2 linked regions of the Oreochromis niloticus genome follow. Each later gene encodes a partner of the first gene's protein in a complex. Links are inferred from orthologs where the notes say so. Each region holds a gene or a part of one and is shown on either strand. Other genes may lie near its edges.

What was found. Proteins that work in one complex are often made in the same cells at the same time.
Region 2: syntaxin-7 (region 1) and bet1l share a complex: the UniProt entries of both Homo sapiens proteins name them as parts of the SNARE complex. The link is inferred for Oreochromis niloticus from reciprocal best matches to the Homo sapiens genes STX7 and BET1L.

What each region holds. Positions count from the first base shown.
Region 1 is NC_031980.2:5,913,639-5,917,394, forward strand, and holds the start of syntaxin-7, read left to right. Parts: upstream 1-1,015; 5' UTR 1,016-1,129; intron 1,130-3,151; 5' UTR 3,152-3,252; intron 3,253-3,756. UniProt on the Homo sapiens protein: May be involved in protein trafficking from the plasma membrane to the early endosome (EE) as well as in homotypic fusion of endocytic organelles. Mediates the endocytic trafficking from early endosomes to late endosomes and lysosomes.
Region 2 is NC_031972.2:40,860,550-40,864,305, reverse strand, and holds the start of bet1l (BET1-like protein), read right to left. Parts: upstream 2,754-3,756; 5' UTR 2,648-2,753; coding exon 2,629-2,647; intron 1,946-2,628; coding exon 1,860-1,945; intron 674-1,859; coding exon 617-673; intron 218-616; coding exon 50-217; 3' UTR 1-49. UniProt on the Homo sapiens protein: Vesicle SNARE required for targeting and fusion of retrograde transport vesicles with the Golgi complex. Required for the integrity of the Golgi complex.

The DNA.
Region 1 (3,756 bases):
ACTCACTGAAGACTTCATTAGTTACACCTTGCTCACACTAAGTTGGGCCCCCTTTTTTCATCAGAACTGCCTTAATTATTTGTGTCACAGACTCAACAAGGTGCTGACCATAGCTTTAGTTTTATGTTCTTGGTTGATAGGAGTGGCATCCAGTGTGCTGCTGGAGCCCATCTGCTTCAAGGTTCAGTGGTTATTTGAATTACTGTTGCCTTACTATAATCTTGAAACAGTCTTTTTTCTCTTTTTTGGACCTTTCTTTGTAAACACTAGAGATGGCTGAGTGGGGAAATTCCTAAAAGAGCCAGACCAGCCCATCTGGCACCAACAACCAACACGTTCAAAGCCACTATAACCTTTCATCCCCATTCTGATCCTTGGTTTGAACTTCATTAGTTCATCTTGGCCTTGGCTATCTGCCTGTACATTTAGATATGGACTACATGTCTATGCATGTAGTTGCTGCCATGAGATTGGCTGATTAGAGAATTACCTTAATAATCAGTCAAACCATTGCACTTAACAAAGTGCAGTACAGTCCAGTGAGTCTGTACTGGATACAGAAGTTAAGAGTGTTATTGATTTGGTTAATCTGAGTGAACTTTGATGTGCTAATGCTGTCTGGTAAACAGAACATGTCTCGTAGCTTTATGTAACATCATAATGTGTTTTGTAAATGACCGCACTTTGCATGGACAATACAGCAAGGACGAAATTATAACTACAATTTTAAAAAGTTGAGGTGGTGTTAGGAAGTGAACTGTTAGGTAATACTATTTTAATCCAGATTCTGCATTATTCTGAAAGCAAAGCCCATTTTATATGTAAAGAAGGGTAGCAAATTAAAAAGAAATGTCTTTCAGCAATATGGTGGCATGTAAGTCTAAAGTAGCATATTATTAAAAAAATGTCCAGTACAAGCTTAAAGGAAACAATTTAACAAATGCACATATCAGCAAAACATTAAAACCAGTTGTTGCTATAAGTCGCCTTTGTGCTGCCCTTTAACTGCACACAAATGCTGTGTTGTAACCTCAAGCTGAGTGTTTTGTCATCTTGCTGTGGATGTGACATGTAAGGGATTGATCCAACTGAGGGACACTCACAGTATTGTGGTGATTTCTCAGACAAGGTAGGCCTACCTAGTAGGATATTCTATGTTGTTGTTCTTTTTGACTTTTGACATTTTGACTCTTTTTGGGAACTATTAGATAATATCATTACCAATGCGACTATTGGTATCGAATTGATACTAGCATGATAGAATCAATACTGTTCTATTATCTGAGTTCAGTATGCAGCTCACTGCCAATTTTTTAAATAGCCTATAGCACATTTAAACCACAGAAGGTGACCCAAAGCGCTTTAGAGACAGACACATTTACGTTACATCCATCATTTGTACACAGTTCATTTCTGGGCTATTAATGCATGAACATGGGTCCTTTGGTCTTGTGGGTGTGTCCACTGTGGATCTGGTCTATTCTGGCTCATTCGTGGATGTTCAGATTGAGATCTGAGGAGTTTGATTTATGCAAATTAGCTGTTCTTAGCAGTTTTTTGGGGTGGCAAGATGCACTGTCCTGCAATAGGAGGATGCTGCCATTGGAGGGTGCTAGAGAATTGTTTGGTGGATAGACACCTGTAAAAGTAACATTCACAAGGTTTTCCATGAAAACTCTGCATTGCGAAGAGATAATGAATGTATTCATTTCATCTGTCAGTTGTTTTATTGTTGTGGTTAATCAGTTATGACCCATGTTAGCTGCAGAACCCCCCCCCCCACCAAAGAGTTAATTAGGTCTCTCCGGGTCCCTCAACACCACATTCACTGGTGAGAAGGCCCAGCAGTCCATCTATTTTCTGTGGAAGGTGAGAAAAGTCCATCCATCCATCCTAACGACAATACAGGGTTGACTATTAAGAGTATCCCAAGCAGCTGCATAACTATCTGACATGGGAACGGTACAGTATCAGATCACAAAATCCTTGCAGTGAATAGTGAAAAGTGAAAACAGCTGAAAGAATCACCAGTTTCTTTCCCCACCTTCAAGGTCATATCCCACAAACTCTGTATTCACAAAGCCACCATCATTGTGTATGATCCCACACACACCTGACGCAAACCTTTTACTCTCCTGCCACCTCACAAGAGGTACCAGAACATCTAGGCCCTCAGTTCCAGTCAGTGCAACGGTTTCTTCCATTAGGCCTCAGAAAGCTCAGTACTCAGGGTCTGGACTGGAAACTCATGCACATAGAAGTGAACACCCTATGAATCAACTAGACTAGTAACATACATACACACTGAAGCAAATGGACACACTTTACACAATCATACTTAAATTGTTGTGTACATTTCTGCACACATAGTGCAATTAAATTTTACTTAATGCCAAATCAAAAGTAGCTTTATATTTTAAGGTAAAGAACCTACAATAACAGAGAGAAAACTGCTACAATCAAATGACCCTCTATGAGCAAGCAATTGGTGACAGTGGGAATAAAAAACTCCCATTTAACAGGAAGAAACCTCTGGCAGAACCAGGCTCAACAAGGGGAGGCCATCTGCAGTGACTAGCTGGGCATGATGGGAGGGAGACAGGCCAAAAGACACACTGTGGAAACCAACCAGCCAACTTTACCATGTAGAAAAACGGCATAGGTGTGATGTTGAAATTGCACTAATTGTTTCTTATATTAAAGGGGAATAAATGTGCTATTAAACGTCTTTACGTTCAGAGAAAGGGGGTTTTGTAAAGTTGGCTGTATGTGGCCCACGATGTAAAAGGAATGTATTCAATTCAATTTGAATTCAATTTATGAGGCCGATTCTGGGCCCCGAGCCTCATGTTTGACACCCAAGACCTAAACAGAATTATAATCCCTTTTACTTTTATGGCTCTTACACTAACTAGAAGCATTGATGTTGTCCAGTGTAAACTAGCATTTTTAAAACTGATTTGGACCCCTCACCTGCCCAGGAACCAGCATCTCACCTGGTAGCCTACAGTCGAAAAGTAACCAAGAATGAAAGATCATGAAATACCTAACCTGTACTGCGTCGTTGCTCTATTTTTAAGAAAAGGACAGTTTTTGTTTCCATACTTTTCTGGGCTCCATTATGTTACCGTTTGACACTTTTTATTAACAGCTGCGATCTCGCTGTGAGTGCAGCAGACATCATGTGATGGAGGAGTGGCCAACGGAAAAAATCAGGAAGCACATCGACGCAAGAAACAAGTCACGAGAAAGGTAAAGTTCAAACTTTTACGCAACTCAAGTAAACTTTTAGTCATTCTTGACAATTTCACTGACGTTTTAGACGACCAACGCATTTTTACGAGGCTGTTTCGTATTTTTAAGTTTGTTTGTTTTTTTGCAACGAAAAGCGACAAACATCTTCATACTGACTTCTCTTGTAACTTCATGACTCTTAAACCCGCTAATGTTAAAATGAAGAGCAGTGTACAGGTAACATTAGAACAGCGTTAACCCCAACAAACACAAGTAGGTCATAACTAAGTATTTGCACTTCATCCGTTCATGTTGATGGCATAAAAAAAAATACTCTGCTGATTTCCGCATTTTTTCCTTGTTGGCAAGGAGACAGAATCAGCCTCAGAACATGCACGTTAGTTTCATTAACCCTAATCACACTTTAATTTTTCATTAAAGCAAACGAGAAATATCCCGTCACTGTGACAGTTTCTTAGCAGGTGGTTATTTGCATACTAGGTTTCAGTCTTTTTTGAGTCA
Region 2 (3,756 bases), on another chromosome or scaffold:
TCTAAAGTCTCAGCTCCATATCAGAGCCTGGTTGATCTTGTTTTCTCAGTCATTGGTGGATCTTGGATACCAGGTAGTAAAGAACAAAGAAGACCAGGACCAGCCCCATGGAGACGTAACACAGGATACGGCGGTTGTCTCGTCCTGATCGGACCATGGTGGAGAAACGCTTCACGCTGCCAGTGAGCAGGCCTGTCGCACTCATGAAGTTTGAGTCCTAAAAGAAAGATGAGATAATTCTTTAATAACTGACAATAAATTAACCTAAGAGAAAAAATAAAACAGCCGACAGTATTAATTTGTACTTATATAATGTGCACTCTGTTTACCAAATGTATCAATCCACACAGATTCTGACAATCAACACAGTGCTCATTTTTTATACTGGGACTCTATAAAATTTTTCCTGAATGTTAGGTCCCAGTGAAACCTGTGGATCGATGGTCAAACACTTCACTAAACAGTTCAGAGGAGCTGTCGTGAAAATAGAACAGGGTGAAAATCAGTGAATATTTAAAACAATATTCTGTTTATAGACAAATGGGAGAAATTAAAATGTCAGTTCTTTTTTACTAAAAGATTAACTATAATTGTGTTTAAGGCAGGAAATGCTCACCATGCCATCCAGGTACTCATTCTGATCGTCCACATCTCTGTCGATGTCGTAAGCCAACTGCGAGATACAGAGACAAGAAGATGATCAAGTTAGTTGTAGAAGTCTGACTGCGGCAGACCAGCAAACTGTCAAAACGTTTCCTTTTATGGAGGCCATCTCACTTTCACCCGGGTGCTACTTACTCTCTTAATTCCAATGACATATGTTCTTGCTCACCTGAGGCTGAATTTGAACCATTTGGAAACCTGTAAGGACTATTATTTTTTATTTTAGATTATTTTGATCATGTCCTAAAATGTGGAATCTTGTGCAAAAATGTACTAATAAGCAATCATTTGTAACAAGTGAAGTTTTACATCATCTCAGGGTTAGATTACAGGCAGAAGAAAGAACATGAGAGCAGATTCTGAAAAGCGAATTGCACAGCAGAGGAAAATGTAGAACAGGAAAGCAAACATCTTCTTGGTTACCCGTTATCCTTTTAGGCTGTTGCTCTGTCACTTAGTACCTAACCAGCTTAAGTGCAGATTGGAAGATGTCCAACTAAACAGGACGTTGTAGGGATTTAAAACACAACTCTTTGCTAAAAACAGACACGAGTCATTTGTCAAAGTCTGTGAACATGCATAAAATATTTTCTGGATCCCCAAAGAGGTTTTAATCAGGGACAATGTCTACAAGATTTAAACCAATTATGAGTCATTTATTTAAGCAAAATAGAAATTTTGAATCAGTCTAAAGAAATAACAGTAATCTTTATAGATGTATGGTAGACAGACTAATTGCCTTGACTCTATGTAAACAAGTTGTTTTCATTAGTGTACAGTGAATACCCAGAGGATTGTTCTGAACCAGGAAGAGCCTGAAGCTTGGTGTAAGAAAATCTTAATATCATGTAACTATGTAGAAGTGCCTGATGGTGTCCCATCTTACACTGGAGGCACTGGTTGTACAATTTTCACATTTCCACAATACTGTACATTTATTAATAAAAGACAACCATTACACCAGTGATGCATTTGGTTACAGCTAAAATTCTTACAAGCAATCAGCCATGTATCAGTACATTAAATAACAAAACTGGTTGTGTTTGGGATAATTAATAATTCTGATTCCTGGAACTGACAGCTTTAGTTATAATTAAAACTGAGTACATTTGACAGCAGTAACCTAATAACTACAGACCAGCTGATTTATTAATCAGACTGGTAGCTGAAGGGGACGGTTGTTGGTTGTTACGCACAGATTTCAGTCTGGAGACTTTGTTGGCCAGGTTCTCTGCCAGCCGTTTGTTTTCAGCATCGAGCACATCATCCACAGAGCCATGGCCTGGACAAGCACAAACACCGTGGATTAGATATGACACACAAGATCTGAATGTTCCTTGAATTGTTATGTTTCTGTTGAAAACCGCAGATAGACCTCAGAAGATACAGTTTTTGCCATGCACATAGTTCTGAACACATAACTTGTTAAAGAATATATAATGTTTCTAATTTTCGGTTTAAATCAACAGGAAGCAACACTTTTTCATCAATGACTTTGATATCAGCATGATCGGAGTGTGGTGCAGAGTCTCTGCTGAAGGGATGTTCTTTATATATCCAGCCCTTTAAGCTAAGCACGGAATAACGACGTGAAGTAAACTTACAACACTGCCAAGGAGTATTCGTTCTCCCATATTTGGGAAACTAATAAGATAATAATGATAATAATAATACTAATGATAATAATATCACTTTTTATCACCCTTCAGAGAGGCAGATGCTTCTTTAGTGGGCGAAAGCAACTGATATGAAACTTACAAGGTAGCCTTGCTTTTTGCTAATCTTTAAGTATGTCAGAGCTAGTTAGCCTATAAACTCAGCTCTTGAGATTTGGGTATTATACGAGCAAACGATACTCAAAAATAACATTTTAAAATGTACCACCCAGCTGTAATATCATCTCTAAGCTGACACAAATAACACACAACTGAATATTTGGAAGTGAATACGTGTCAAAACATTTACCTCTGTTCCACTCCGCCATGTTGCTTGTTGGTGAATGACGTCACGATCAGCTGTTCACGTGGCAGACACGTGATCGCCTTTCTTCTTCGTCGACAGCGTTAAGGTGTCATTAGCTTCAGTGACGACAGAAGACTCCAAAATAGTTCTCGCCTTGTTTCCGTTAATGCATTACACTAGCTGAGTACTGATGCCTTAACATAGACTTTAAGCATATACCACACAAAAAGGGGAATAAATGAAGAGTGGAAGAACAAACAACAACAACGCCGACGACAACAATAACATCAACAATAATAACTTTATTTGTGTACCACTTTTTAAAGAACACTGGTTTTAGACACCACACACCATCCGGTCAGACGTCCATTCTAACATACATATTTAACTTACACACAAATAGATGCAAGCTAAGGTCCGAATAATGGGGAAATCATTAAGAGAACACTAAAATATATATAACAAATGTTTTCGGCAGTTGTTTAAAACAAATTACGGATTCAGCTGATCAGGTAAGAACAGGTAAAATGTGACCATAATGCTGAAGGTTATTACAAAGTTTGGGCACTATTGCCTCAAAAACGTGATCGTCTCTGATTTTAAAGTAAAAGCGTGGGACATTTAGCAGACTTTGACCAGGTGATCTGCAACGATAGGGTCTCAGTAGCTCCGATAATATAAGCAGGGCCATCCTCATGTGGATGTTTAAGTGTTACAATTATGAAGTGATATCTGCAGAAGTGCCTATTTCATCCACAAGAGGTCGCTCTTTCTGTCCTGCTCAGGGTAGTTACTTTAAAATTCTACTACTTGTGTCTCACACTATCTGTGTTCCATTTACAAAACGTAGATGTTTGCAATATAAACATGATCAAAACTACATCCAAACAAAGAAAATATTAATGTATTTTAACTGTTTTATGGTGCAACGCGTGCAAAATACCCCAAATTATGTAACTGTAGTTTCTCTAAATGTGAAAATGTATAAATATTTAATTTATTGTTCACCATTATGAGCTGTAGACTGTCAGTTTAACAAAATAAAAGCACTGCTGGTATCACTTTGGAAAACTGTAGAGCTGTAGCCATTCTTCAACACAGCCTGAACTCTCTTAAACAAGCTTTCTTGTA